2 linked regions of the Lepisosteus oculatus genome follow. The protein of the gene in region 1 binds, or shares a complex with, the protein of each later gene. Links are inferred from orthologs where the notes say so. Each region holds a gene or a part of one and is shown in the gene's direction. Other genes may lie near its edges.

The links. The genes of interacting proteins can lie anywhere in the genome.
Region 2: apooa (region 1) and micos13 share a complex: the UniProt entries of both Homo sapiens proteins name them as parts of the mitochondrial contact site and cristae organizing system (MICOS) complex. The link is inferred for Lepisosteus oculatus from reciprocal best matches to the Homo sapiens genes APOO and MICOS13.

Annotation. Positions count from the first base shown.
Region 1 is NC_090700.1:4,357,840-4,365,560, forward strand, and holds the start of apooa (apolipoprotein O, a), read left to right. Parts: upstream 1-4,716; 5' UTR 4,717-4,815; coding exon 4,816-4,845; intron 4,846-7,721. Other genes in the region: c5hxorf58 (uncharacterized protein CXorf58 homolog), read right to left, coding at 253-459, 799-952, 1,435-1,667, 1,779-1,910, 1,998-2,100, 2,879-2,973, 3,810-3,972, 4,537-4,541. UniProt on the Homo sapiens protein: Component of the MICOS complex, a large protein complex of the mitochondrial inner membrane that plays crucial roles in the maintenance of crista junctions, inner membrane architecture, and formation of contact sites to the outer membrane.
Region 2 is NC_090724.1:7,890,535-7,897,865, reverse strand, and holds the start of micos13 (MICOS complex subunit MIC13), read left to right. Parts: upstream 1-4,323; 5' UTR 4,324-4,499; coding exon 4,500-4,528; intron 4,529-5,675; coding exon 5,676-5,832; intron 5,833-6,352; coding exon 6,353-6,404; intron 6,405-7,250; coding exon 7,251-7,331. Other genes in the region: hsd11b1la (hydroxysteroid 11-beta-dehydrogenase 1-like protein), read right to left, coding at 874-961. UniProt on the Homo sapiens protein: Component of the MICOS complex, a large protein complex of the mitochondrial inner membrane that plays crucial roles in the maintenance of crista junctions, inner membrane architecture, and formation of contact sites to the outer membrane.

The DNA of each region.
Region 1 (7,721 bases):
AAGAAAGCACCACGAGGAGGAAGAACTGGCTGGAACATTGCTGAAATGTATTTAGGGTAGTGGAAGAATTTCCCGACAGTATACTTTTTGTGTACAAGGGGTTTCTGAACAAAACGCCACAGGATAGCTGGTGAAAGACAGTACAGTTCTGTGTGTAGAGGACTAAGGCCTTGAATGGAGTCAGAGTGTGAAATTTATAGTTTGGAGTGCGTAGATGAATAGTGAGGGTTCTCTGGTCATCGTGGCTGGGTTTTATATCTTCTCGGGTGTGCAGGCAGGTGAGGCCATGCCCAGATCATCAAGGGAAAGCTGTTTAGTCCAGGAGTAGAGCCTCTCCGCCTCTTCCTCCCACTCTTCTTCAGAGAACCGGGCTTCGTCTCCGGGGATATCCGCTGGAATGACGTCCTGGAGCTCAGCAAGGACCGCCACATGTGGAGAAGCCCGCTCCTCCTCATCCTCCTATGGGAAAGATATAAAAAGGTTGCTGTGACCAAGCTGGAGTGATGAAGACTGTGCCTTGTGTTGTGGGCCGGGCAGGAGGTGGGGGCTGACCACTGTCAAGGCTCCATGGAGGAGCTGCACTCACATGGCAGCAGTGGGGGCGTTATGACCTCAGAAAGGCACAGGAGGTCAAATCCGGACTGAATTCCGTTATGAAGTGAGGTGTGACAACTTGGGGTACCTCAAGGGCCCTCTGTGAGCGGGGCTGCTTATAGATGCACCACTGTACAAGTAAAAAGGGTGTTGGAGCTAAACTGAAAGCAGAATCACAGAAAATGGCCCTGCGGCCCTTCTCACCTTCCTGTCGCGCTGCAGAGAGTACAGATCCCTCATCTTGGCAGCTGTGTGCCGGGCTCTGCTGGACCGCCGGGACGAGGGCTTGGCACTGACGGGCTGCGGCGGGCCGGGCCTTCTCGCGGAGGCGACCGAGGAGGGAGGGACTGCAGGGGATCTGCGGAGGCAGGGACACGCTCATGTGGGGGACACCCTCGGCCCTCAGCTGGCAGCTTCGACCCCCCAAAAGAAATAAGACTTGATAAGCTTCATCGTGGGTCTGAGATTATACAAAAGGTTCAGCTATCCAATACTGACAGCCACCGAGACACGTCTGGGAGCAAACAGGACAGACCAGTCAGTTTTACTACCTGGAACACTAGGACTGTCCTTTAGCTTCTCACAAAATAGTCTTATAATGGGATTTCAGTTAGCACCAAGGAATGACAGTCTTATCACTGGCAGTGATGCAGGGCTGCCCAACTGCCTTCTATAAAATGCTTTCTTGCTTTGTTTTTACTGCAAAAATACCCTTTTAAGCAAGTTTAATACAAAAATACCCTTTTAAGCAAGTTTAAGTGCATGCAGCCCATTTCTTTATTTGCATTTCAGCAACCATAACCTTCAGCTGCTGAAAGGAAGGCCAGTCCGCGGTCCTACCTGAGCTGCTGAGGGGGCCCAGGCTGGTTTGGTCCTGCCCTGTTGTGCCACAGCGCCCCCAACAGGGCGGGGTCTGCAGGGCATGCCAGGGGAGTTCTGCGCAGCCCCTCCAGAGACAGGGTCCTCCAGGTGTTCTCTCGTCCTCCCAGGCACGCCGGCGTCTCGTCCAGGTGGCTGTTGTACTGCAGACGGGAGGTTTGCTCGGTCAGGCCTAGTCTTTCCCGCCCTCGCCGCTGTTCTTTGAAAGCAGGATGAGCTCAGCGGCCAGAGCGCAGCAGGGCCGGGCCCTGACTTGCACGCGCGCTGTATCTCGCTCCCGCTAGACGGCGGAGACTGTACTCCACCTGCATGTAGTCTTTCGCGCACGTGACGTCGGCCACGTCCACTATCCTCCACCTCGCCCGCTGGGCGTTGTCCAGCCTGAGCTGGCTGAAGAAGGCCCTCCTGCCCATCATCCTGCAGGCGTCGGACGCGGCCTGGGGGGGAGAGAGGGAGACCAGGGCGAGATGGGCGTGCGCGGCGGGGCGCTGGGGAGGGAGCGTGCTCTGTGGGAGCTGGATTACCTCGCTCGCCGGGCGGATCGCGCTCCCACTGAAGTATTTGCTCCCTCCTCTGTGGTGAAAGATCTTGAACACAATCACAGGAGGGAACTCTGAACCACAAAACCTGCAATTGAAACCCAGGACAGGCTCAATTAGAAGCTGTTTCGATACTTTCCAGTTTAATACTTAATATTATGTCCTGCGTGTTGTTTGCTCTGTAGGTAGCTTCAAATCCAAACTCAAAACTTTACCATGGCCTGTGTCTGATTGCCCTACATCCTATCTGTATGAACCTGCATTCTTTTACTTTTTCGTGTATTTTTTGTCTTTTCCTTTATCACCATGTACAGCGTTCTTGGGTTTGGAAAGGTGCTTCATAAAAAAGTTATGACACTTCTAAAATTAAATGCAAATCGCAATGTAATGTGATTCCAAAATGCTTTGGTCTTAAGACCCGGAAGGTCTGGGCTGATCCCAAGTTCTACTCGTTTTGAAGTTAGAATTAAAGTGCCACATCAATAATAAGAATAAAGCACACCCAACAAGTACTGAAAAGTGTTTTCTGCTCGTTTCCCGTCACTGGCTCCTGTACGACGGTGTCTGGTGTTTGCCCTTCCACACCCCCTGCAGCTGTGGGGCGACTGTGTTCAGGCCTACAGATCAGGGTTACAGCCCTGCTGGTTCACAGTGTCGTCTGCTGGTTCGACTCGTTCACCCTTCCTGGATTGTGCAGTCGGTTGGCATCAGCCACGCCGTGAGACGGGTGCGTTTTACCCTGCGGACGATGTCTGGGTGCACTAGCTATCCTGCTCGGTACGAGAGGACCCGCAGGTTCAGCCGGGGGGGAGCCGGAGTCTGTGGGATCACGTCAGGCGCCTGTAGCCCCCGCAGGGGGACGGTACCTGAAGCGGACCGTGCACTGCAGGCTGGGGTCCCTCAGCAGCTCGGCCTCGCGGGGGCTGACCTTGCGCAGGACCTCTGGGGTCAGGCAGTGCTCCTGGGGGACGGACAGCGCATCACACAAACCCTTCCCCACCGCGGACCCCCGCAGCTCCATCTCCACACCAGTTTCATCCTCAACAACAGAAGGTTTCTTTTTCTGTGGGCAAACGCACTAGAACTAATCGTAAATATATATTAATATATCTCTCACACCTGAAGAAGGCTCCACGGCCGAAACGTGTTTGTCTTTTTTTTTTCCGGCATGGAATAAACCTATGACTTGTTCCATACTTATATTAACACATAATTGACCCAGTTAAGAACATTATTTTTTTGTGTATTATGTGAAATCGTCCTGGTCAAGAGACTTAGCCCTTCACGACACACATACTGACTTCACAAGATCGCTCAAGCAAGCAAAATCAAGTTATTTCGGCAGGGCCTCACTTAAACCTCTATTTGTGATCCTGTTTGCAGTTAATCTTCCTTTACCCCCTGCCCCCAATCCTAGAACTACTCTCTCTCTCTCAATTCAATTCAATTCAAGGTGCTTTATTAGCATGACCGATGGGTACAATCAGTGTTGCCAAAGCAAATAAAAATAATAAAATTAACATAGAACAAAACAAAAAATAGAAGTAAAATAAAATCTACAGACATGTTACAGACATTTACAACAAAGACATATTATATAATATCGACATATACATTCTCTCTCTCTCAGTATACATTCTCTCTCTCTCAGTACTTGTGCTGCAAACGTTGAACCGTTTGCAGCAGAAACCTAGTTGTAACGACCCTGAAGCGGCACGCCAGCGCCAGGGTTTGATTTAGCCGTGCGTGACTTCAGACAGGGTCCGGCTGGACCTCACAGCGGCGCGCCCTCCCTACCGCCGCGCAGACCGTGTGCTTCAGCAGGCGGAACAGGCGCCGGTCCCGGTGCGAGCGCCAGCGCCGCTGGATCCTGCGGGCGGCGGCACCGAGGTCCATGTGGTCCATGTGGTCGTCTGGGGAAAGGACAGTGAAGGACGCACACGGGGAGGAACGCAGTTCACTATGGAGGCAAACAGATGCAACCACACTCACGGAACGGGCAAAGGTTTATTTCACGCAGACAGGAAAGGAGCACACGCACAAAGCCCTGCAGTCCAAACGGGGTGTCTCTTCTCTTTCCAGCGTGGCATAAACCAAGACGCAGCGCGAACACTTCTTCGGCAATAATAATAGTTGCTGAATCATAATATGAAATACCTTTCCAATGATGGTAAGCACAGCCGGTCAGAGCACAGCTAAAAACTGATAGCGAGCTGTGCTTTTTTTTTTAAGAGGATGCCTTTTTAGTTATCACCAGTGGTGACACGATGTTACCCACTGTACGTCTGCTCGGGAGACTGTTACCCATTCAGATCCGACTTGTTTTATGTATACTACAGAACGTCCTATATACGGGAAAAAAAACGAAAAATAAGGATATGAATAGACAAAAACGCCTAAGAAAAAGAAAAATATCTTTCCGGATCGGAGAAAAAAAAAACTATTTCGTAGGTCATTTAACACAATTCTCCATTAAAAAAAACTAGCTAAGTCTTAAAGAGAAACAGTGCAAGCGAGTACTTACATCATAAATGCTAAACGGTTGAACGTGCCCTTGGAAACGTTCTTCTATAATTTCCCTACATGTCTCGAATAAACATAAGGGGTGCTTTGCGCTTTGCATTAGTTTCGGGGTCCTGGGTGCGCGCAACCTCTACGCTGCGTTTGCGTGTGTTGCTAGGGGATACAACCTTGACGTGTCGGTGCACCTGTGATCGGCGGCCAGGCGGGGGCGCTGTGTAGCCAAGGCGAGGCCGTGCGCGGAGGAGGTGTGTCCGTCTTCGGCCGCCGTAGGACGTATCGCATGGCGCCGCCGAGAAGGACTATGTACAAGGTGAGAACAAACTTTGCCAAAAAATATATGTCTATTCAGTCGTACTGGAGATGCAATCCAAGATGCTATGTCCTCAAACAGAAGCATTTTAAGGAGCTTTTCTAACTTTGGGTTTTGTAATAAAGTGTCGTGTTACAGTGGAAGTCTGAGCAGTAGGGCGGTACAGCACAAGAGAGGGTTTTAGCCATGCTGGTAGTAAGATACCCAAGAAGGACGTGCTTTAATGCTTGCAGAATTTGCCAGTAACGCAGTTCCCAACCCGGCCTCGTTTTGATGCTTTTTGATAAGTATTGACCAGCAGTTGAAAATCGTGGGCTTGCGCCTTTGTCTGTGTTATCTCGGAAGGTGTTCATCTCGCCATCGTTTTTCATCCCAGCTATGTTGAGGACCCGGAATCCCAGTTCTTCCGGATCTGGCCGCCTAGATGCTTTGAAATAGATTGAGACTCGTTAGCTTGTCGCAAAATATCACCTGACTGGTGCCGTCCAGGTTTCGGTTTTACAGCTGTAGGGACAGGAAGTTAGTCGTTCCTAGCTGTTTTTCCTACACTTGTGTGACACTGGCTGGCTAAAACACTTAGCTCAAAGAGCGTTTTTAATTTTAACCAGAAATCTACAGTGTATCTCGTCGGAGTATTGCTCTATTGGTCATTCCATTTGCTGCCTCAGTAACAACTACCTGCTTTGGGGGCGAGTCATGCTTGTGACGGTGGCGGTGACTGGACCAGCGTGCAGGGAGAGAGCTGAGGCTGTCCAGCTTTGTGTGATTGAAACTCTCCTGCCTGACACTTGCCCTTGTTAACACTGTTCGGTTATAGCCTGGTACCTGGTTTTCTTTCTGTCGATCGCCGTTGTCTTTCCTTCATCGCGTTGTCTTCTGCGCAGCAATGGCCTGGGTCTCTTGGCCAAGCTCGTCGTCGTTGACTTAGAATTTGTTCTCAGCCGACATATCTCATTAAATAAAGGATTAAAACGGAGCGACGTTGCCTTGTTGTTGCTTTTCCACAAGGGGCTCGGATGACACATGCTACTCTACGCTGGTGTAGAAGGAGCAGCTGTAATGGGAGCTGATTTTGTTACCCAGAGATACGCTGTGATGTGTTATCGCTCAAGGGTTGTATCAGATTCCTTCTCGAAAAGACTTATTAAGCTGCTGCTGCAAAAGGATACCACCTTGAAACTGTAGGCCATCAGAACCTCAGTATGTAGAGAATTGAACTCGCAAGGCTTGCTACAGTATATACAGCAGATAGGGATGATAACATGCCGGCCTGAACTATGAAAACAACACAGAGGCAGGTGTGCCTGAGCAACAGAGGGTTTAAACAGGATTGAATTCTGCCTCAAGCCAGCGTGTTGCAGTCTCAACAACTCCCCCCACTGCGTGCCTGACCCTGTTGTATTCATCTGTGAACAAAACACACCTGTGCTGGAAAGGCAAGCCATTATACCCTTTTTTACAGAAAACCATACTTATCAATCTTTTACACACCAAGAAATAAAAGATAAAACATTTAAATTGTATCCATTAAAGCTTGATGCATGTTACAGGTGCAGCTCTAAATTGTAATTCGCTTGTTGCGTCTTACTTTGGGGCTAGGAGATATTTTTTATTCTTCTTGATCTTAGTGTGGTTTTGATACGGTAAATCATTCATATTTGTCTATCAATGCTACTGTCTTAAACATGTTTCACTCTTGTCCGACTGGTAGGCAGTGTTTTGTTTGTCTTGGTCCTTGTAAATCCCCCATGGCCCCAAGTCGATCACGGTGTGCTGCAGGGTTCAGTCTTGGGCCCTTCGCTCTTTATTACTTACATGCTTCCTCTTGGGCAGATCGTACACAAACATGGTCTTCAGTCTCACTGTCACGAAGATGCTATTCAGATTTACGTTAAAACTTCTTCCTCTTCTGATCTCTGTCACTTATCTCTTGCTCTAACTCACTAGGGGTATCTAAATCTACATTGAATGAACTCCAGTATGTCCAAAATTTTGGACCTGACCAGGTCTAGTGCAAGTGATCACATTACTCCTATCCTGGAGTCCCTGCACTGGTTTCCTATCCAATTCCATGTCATCTTTAAAAGCCTGATGCTCACCTGTCTGATCTATTATCGCCCTACTCCCCACCTCACAACCTTCGCTCTTCTAATTCACAACTGCTATCTATGTCTGATTCTGCCTGCTTGATTCCTGCATTTATAACACCAACGCTTGATTTCTGCTGCTCTTTACTCTGTGGCTCCCTAACACTCTTCTCCGTAGGTTGCACTACAGTATGTCCAAAACTGCAGCCAGATGACTGACTCACACCAGACCCTCACAGCACATCACTCCTATTCTTAAATCTCTTCACTGGTTGCCCATAAAGTCAAGTATACAATATAAGATCTTGTTACTGACTTTTAAGGCTGCAAATTGTCTGGTTCCATCATCCATCTCTGAACTCCTCCGTGGTTCCACTCCCTCCTGTTGGCTCCGCTCAGCTGAGGCTGGTCCTGTGCTCACTGTACCCAGGAATAAATCTTGTTCTTTTCAAATCTAAACTCAAGGTAAAACTCACATTTTTACTAGGGCCTGCGTCTGATTGCCTTGCAGTTTTTTCTTGTTTCATTTTTCTTGCTTTTTCTTGTATTTTTTTCTCCTTTATCACTATGTACGGCGTCTTGGGGTTTGCAGTGGCGCTTTATAAATGCGTTAGTTTGAGAAAACCAGACCCACGTTTTGCGGTTCTCCTGGTGCTGTAAGTATATATTTTGTCCGCTAGGGGGAGATATTGTCGAGGCTCAGAAACATACGAAGTCGGGGTGTTTTCAAATGTGAAACATATTGTGTTTTACTGTCTGGAGATCGGCGAGACCGTACTGCCGGCGCCG
Region 2 (7,331 bases), on another chromosome or scaffold:
TAGAACTTCCAGTTAAATGGTGTACAATAAAGCCATTAATACCTATTTAAAATGTAGACTTGCTTTCGCTCGTTATTGATAGGCTTCGGGGCTTCTCCGCTTAATTTTATATCCCCCTAATAAATGAATTAAGGCAGAGGACATCATAAATAATTATTATCTCGTCCGGCACAAAATGAACTTCGCGCTTGAAACGGTTTGCGGCACCGCGCTTGTTCTGTGCGCGATTTGAAAACGTGTCGACTGGAACACTTGTAGGCGTCTTAGAAACCCGAAGGTGCCGAAATCGAATTCGTGTTGGTCCTCAGACCCTTCAGGGACTCCCCACCTTAATTCGTCCATTCACCCCGGTGGCTTTGAAATTTCCTTTCGTACTGTACGCGTATGCACACTGTGTTGTTTTATTCACTGACAAGGTTTAAAGTATTTTGAGTTTACAGAACATTCTCTGTTTCAGTTTGTAGAAAGGTCTACGTTAAACAACATGGGAACAAGCAATAGGTTTATTCCAGGCTGAAAAGAGAAGAAAGAAAACACAACGTTTCGGAGCCTTGTGCAGGTGTGTTAAATGACATGTCCTTCTTTGCTGATTGATCACGGTGTACAGTGCGACAAGGAAATAGGGAAGAAGTCTTGAAGAGAGAGCTGGAAATGTAACTTTTAAAAAGAGAATATCCGTCTCCATTCGTTTCCATCCTTTCAGTGTCTAACCACACTTTCACGAATCCAGTTAACGATTCCTCTGATGTCGAAAACATCTTGTGAATCTCGCACAGCGTGTGAAAGGACAGTCGCTTTCCCAGCTGCTGCGCACAACCGGGGCTCTCCGGTACGGTAGCAGCAACTTCGAGGCGACGGAAAGAAACGTCTCACCTGCGTCAAACGTGTCTCTCCAGAGGAACGACAGCAGCGCTGCGCACACAGCTGTGGTGACCAGGATAACCTTAACAGGTCGATTCATGGCAAAGCGTTTAGGGGGAGGAAAAAATATGTAACTGCAGTCGCCCTGAGACCAAACCTCTCCGGACCTCTTCTTGCAGATCTTCGCTTGTCCTGCAGCTCGAGCGCTTGTGAGGGTTCCGAGGAGAGAGGGGGAGTTATGACGCCGTCAGGAAGTGGCAATTCTCTATCGCAAACACGCAACCAACTCAGCGCGTCTTTAAAAAAACAATCACCTGCATTCTTACCACCCTGGCTTAGCACAGACATTATTTTGATCAGCACACATACTATTGCATGAAAACACTCGATTCGATTGTACAAAAAGACAGGAAAAGCCATTAACGTGTGGTTTAAAGTGAATATCCACCGTCCGGTAAACTGATAGAGAGGTTAGCGTTCGTGTGCGCTTTAAAACCTTTCTGTTCGGTTGATGGCAATTACTGTGGTCTAACTCTAAAAACACGTCTTTCTCAAAATGAAAGCAACGGGCATTGATCTGGCACATTGCGAACGCACTTATTTCCACTTCAATCATATATCTTTATATGATTGATTTGGAAAAAAAAACATTTAGGGTGCACAGTTTTCTCTTTACTTGTTCTTTCGCAGCCGACAAATGCTGACACAGGACCCTACTCGATTCTGGACCGATGATCAAGTTTAGGATGCATCATTCCAGTGGAAATGTGAATATACAGTCATATGGCAGAATAGATACTGGCCACCTAACTGACTTGTTGCTCTTTTGCAAGTACTTGTCAACATGTATCACAAAGCTTTGACCTTGTTAATACAGCCCTGCTTGATATTCATATTCTGAGGCACTGGAACTGACTCAAAGCCATCAAAACTTTCTGCTTCTAGGCAGTAATGTCGGACCTGTGCAATTGTTCCAATAATTCCACACACTCTGTAATGTCTCTAACTTTGAAGCGTGTGAGCAATGTCCTCTTCAGTAGTTTGCAATAGTACAGCAAACAGGTAAAGCAGCGAGGAGAATCGTGTAAAAGACTCTATTGGTTTGTGTCTGAGACAGATTTTGTTTTGTCTCAATTGCTTCCAAGTACGTCTCCTGTATCTATAACCAGAGTGACTTTTGAGCCCCAGACTAAGAGAGTGATCCTGCCTCAGCCTAGCAGGTTCAATGTCTTGCCTTGACAGTGACCATGGGGGGGGGCGGCACTCAGGCAGTCATCACATTGACACTTGAGCACCTTTTTAAACCCACAGCTATCACTTAAAAGAGGCAATTGACAATATTGCATTGATTAGTAAACGAGATTGATCTGTTTTTCAATCTATACGGTATTTCCAAGACCTGGTCTAGTTCCTGGGGACACAGGTTAGATTTATATTAACATTCAGGCAGTTGAATTGTCTGCGGGAACATTGCATGAACAATACATTGCTTTTATAAATATAATACAGATTCATTCTGTACAGTCATGTCCTCAATTCAACTTATAAATCAAGTATCATCTACTATTACTGTAATTAATCATATGTAGAGGATTTAAAATCCCCTTTGTTATAAGGTTTTGTTGTCCAAATATTTTTATTGTACAAATACAGCAGCTTTAATAAGCAATAGCTAATTTTCCATTCACAGTGAGGGTCAATACTAATCAGAACTACCAATGATTAGCCTCTTCATGATACCAGCACATGCACTGAAATGAGGAAGAATGCAGTGTGTTTCATTTTCTAATTGACAGAGTATTCGCAAGTCTTCCCTCCTTTTTGGGGTTATATGATTAAAAATAAGAGTTCCAGCGTTCCCTTGTGCAAATCTCCAGAGCTCACACACTGTCGATGGCCACAGCTCATCACTGATAACAAGACTGTGCTTAGTGCTGTTATGGTCACATCTAATACACTGTCCCTCCTTATCTATGAACTGCAACCTTGGAGAGGATAATTGAGAGACCCAGCAATGTATTTGAGATTCAAAGCTCTTCCAAATTCCAAATATACCAATACCAGCCTTTCCTGTGTCTGTGGTTATTCCCTCTGCATGATCTACTTAGCAACAGCTGTGATTTTTGAAGGCAGTGACACAGTAAGAATTAGAATCCAAGAAGCAGCCCTTGTTTTGTAATGGATCATGTTTCTAGAACCGTCCGGAAGAGTGGCATGACAGTTAACACAACTTCCTCACAGGTCTAGGGTCCTGGGGTCCATTCTGAAGCATCGTCTGTGTGGAGTTTGCATGGTTCCCCTTTGGCGTTTTTATCTGGAGCTCCCCCCACACACACACACCTTCCAAAGACACACCAGTTAACATAGCCGGCATCTCTCGGTTGTTGCCTTGTGCAGGTGTGAGCGTGTCGAGCAAAGAGCAGCGTCCCCACAGATCTGCAGTCCCACCTCCAAATGCCTGTTACATTCCCCGAGTGGAACAAAACTCCACACCTTTCATGTACTCAAGCCAAAGCAGTTGTCTCGTTCAAATCGCCCTTAATACGGAATCGGTTAAGAACTGGAAAGAGGAGAAACAAAAAGCTCACGTCTTAAGTATTTACATCATTCTTGCCGCCAGTGAACAGGTGCGTGGAGGAAACTCCCTGCTTGGTATTTTTACTCCCTGAGTGAAGTGAGGCGCTCCTGATTCGACTTGCTGCCCTCCTGGTAGTCACACAGTTAAAACTCTTTGTTTTGCTTCACGTCTCCGAATCGTCTGTGTGTCTAACCAGTGACAGGCTGTTGGCAAATCGTGTACCGATAGTAGCGTTTTGCACATTATCACGTTGAAACCTACTGGGAGATAAAGGTTAGCTTGAAAAATGAAAACAAGTTAAATGAATCGATCCGCTTTTCTTACCCAACGTGTTAGGCATCCGTAAAATCTAAACATAATTTATTTTACAAATAAAATAGTGACTCAAAGACTCAATAAACCGATTGAATCTGTATTAGAACGGTAAATTAAGGAGTCAGGAATGTTTACCTTGTAAGAATTTGATATCATCACAGTTACAACACGCTGTTGCTTTTTATTTTGTTATATAATTTAAGAGTAATTCCTTATTCATTTTAGTAACCCAGTATGAATTTGGACAGGAACAGTTCATAGACAGGTTTTGAGTATGTAATGGTACGAGTTCAAGAGACTGTAGTTCACTACAGAGTGAGGGTTGCGCACAGCCTCACGGTGAGAGAATCTGTAAAGGACTACATTTCCCAGAACCCACTTGCAAAGATTAGTGCGGTCTTCGATTATGCATGTTTGAAGAAGTCTCTACAAAAATAAATGTTGAGAATGCATATTAATTGAGGGAAAGAATTATGAAAGTCCTAAATTTAAATAATCTTAATTTGAAAGAATCTGCTTTGTCCGATGTAAAACGGTAACCTCTAAAGGGGAGTCGAAGGTCATCTTGAAAAAACTTTATTGAGATATACGGCAAACACACATTGGTACTGCCTTCTCGATGTCCTTGTAAATGCGAATGCAGACTACGGTTTTTAAAACACCTGGGCTGCAAATATATTCGTTTATTTAACAATCCGTTTCTGCTCGGTCATTGTTACGTTTGTTTCTACTTCGTTTTTGGCTCATGGCTCCCAGGATTTTCCCATTAATAAAGTAAGTTGATTCCTCCGGCCTCCTTGTGACAGCACTATACAAAGTTCAAGTTTCAATGTATGTCAATTTTTTCTGCTAGTTGCTGTGAAAATAATGTCACGATCCATGTGTAGGCGGTGAAATCTAGTACTACGTAGATGTGAAATAAACTAGCAGTGAAATTCAAGCTCGGCTGTTCTGAACATGACTTGAAAGTGCGTTTTCTTTTAATCGTATCTGTATACAGTCCTTAGTGATAACAAACTGTGCGTTAGCGGTGTAGGTTTAATGCTCAGTTATAGCAGATTTGTTAAACTATTGCTGTGAAGTAGTGATATATAAAGAAATACCAATTTAAATAACTACGCCATGGAGCTGCGTTCCTAACTCCTAAACTGCACACATCTGTGAACACGCCCAAATTACACTTCCAATTAACCCCCCCTCTGAGTGGTGAGGACGCTGGAGAACTAGAAGTCTCCCTAGCTTGGTTGAACCTAGATTTACCATTACAAATTAGGATTGTTTAGCAATCAAGTTCAGCATCATATTGAAATTATGTGCTGGGATAAAGCATATTAGGAAAATCTCACCCAGCCAGTTTTTAAAAGGATTTCAATATCACCATGAGAAACAGACCTGGATGCTTGTTCCAGACTCCCACAGCTCTTTGTGTAATGTGGCACTTTCTGTTGTCAATCTTAAATGCACTTACCCTAAGATTCAATGGTTGTCTTGTTAGTTTTTTGGATAAAAGCAACAGGGTGACACAGTGGTTAGCAGGGCTGCCTCTCAGAGCTGGGGTCCAGGGTTCAATTCCTAGGGTTCTGTCTGTGTGGAGTTTGCATGGTCTCCCTGGGTTTGCATGGGTTTCCTCCCACAGTCCACTCCCACTGGTAGGTTAACTGTCTCCTGGAAAAATTGGTCTTGGAGTGAGTGAGTGCGTGTGTGTTTGTCCTGTGATGGACTGGCATCCTGTCCAGGGTGTACCCTGCCTTGCGCCCAGTGCTTGCTGGGATAGACTCTGGTTCTCTTGAAAACCCTGTACTGGCTAAATCAGTTAGGAAATGGATTGATAAAAGCAACCCGTTGTACGTTCTCATTCAATCCATTTATTAAAAACAAAGGCTTTCATTTAGATGTTGTGTGGTTTGTCTGTGGCATGCAGGCTGGTCACCAAGGTGGGTGTGGCCGGCGGGGCAGTGTACGTGGCCTATGACCAGAGGTTGCTGGGGGACAGTGTCCAGGGCTCAGAGGTGCTGACCAAGGCCAAAGCTGCCATCCCCCCTGCTGTGGACGAGTGGATGAAGTACTTCGGATGGGAGGTGAGGCCAAGATCTTGTGTTTGTGCCGACATACTGGGTGCTTGTGAAGCAGCCAAGCACTGGTGCGGTTTTACTGTGCCAGTGTCGTGCAGTGCTGTATTTTGGCTTTCATGATTTCTTTTAGAGAGATAAGTCCCATCTCCGAACCCTCAGGTGTAGGGCACAGCCCTTGTGTTTCGAAAAACATCTTTCATTCCTACGTAATCAACATAATTATCTGGATAGGAAGTATAATTACTCCGGTTTTGAAGGCCCACTTTTTGGTGGAAAAGTCCCACATCCAGCACAAGAGATCAACTCGGGGACTGTATTAAACATTAACAGAGGTGCAGGAAGTAAACTTCCACCAAAAACCCTGGGATCACAAGACCCCGAATCAAGAACTGACTAAATAAAGTTTGTGATTCGGAGACAAGGTCCTTTCTAAAGGCTGTAACTAGCTTTACTGGTGTTGGTGCTGAGAGGCTGTTGTCGATGCAATGTTTAACCATCATGTTCTCCTCTTCCCTTATTACTGCAGCTTCCTTCTCCTCCCAAAATAGAGTTTTCCGCTTTGGAAACGTGGAATACCGGTAAGAGCTTACGTAGTGCAGGAATGCTACAGCAAACAAACTCTCAGTTTTTCTAGTTTTGTGTGTACTAGCAGGTTCATCCTTGATCTGGAAAGGGGGAGCAGTCCCAGTTTCCCAGACCGGTTATTGAATCTCGGTAACCAAATAAATTCAGTGACAGTATAGCAAAACAAAAATGTACACATTTTGAATTGGGCACAAAAAGTGTGAACTTTGTGAAAGTGCTATAAGTAGCCATAGTGTTGCAAACCCCAGGTCTCGGCACGGGCGAGAGCGAGAGTTCACGAGAATTCTGACACGGGGAGGCCCTTCCTGCTCACTAGTCCCTGTAATGACTGATGTGATTTGTGAGCGAATAACTACAGGTTGTGCAGCAGACATTTCACCCCCAGGCATCTTCCCAACATGAGTTAACGAGTAAGTCTCATTTATCGGCAAAATCGTCTCGAAGTTGAGAGCAATGTCTCCATGGGATTTAAAGAGACGTACCCACAAGCCTGCTGGTTTACAACGTAAGGGAGCTGCAACACGGCGCCCTGCCTCGTTCTGGATCGCAGAACATGGCGCTGCGCTCACCTGGAGCTTTCGGGGAATTTTGTGAAGCGAATTGGAGGTTTTACAAGTTACTGTGTCCATCTGACTTTCATTGCGGTTTGAAGTGCGCCCATCAATGGCGATTCTTTCTAAAACAGAAATAGAAAAATGGTGCTGCCGTTCCCCTTTGAGTGGCTGAATGCTGTCAAACAGGCTGCAGATGGGAAGGGCTCGCTGGCGTTCTGACTGACGGACAATCCCATGCCCGGCTCCGGCTATCCTGAGTGACCGCGTCTCCCCGTTTTCTTCCAGGCGTTCAGAAGCTGACGCAGACCCTCTCCGTCGCCCCCACGCGAGCATGCGAGTACACCAGCCAAGGCTGGCAGTACATGA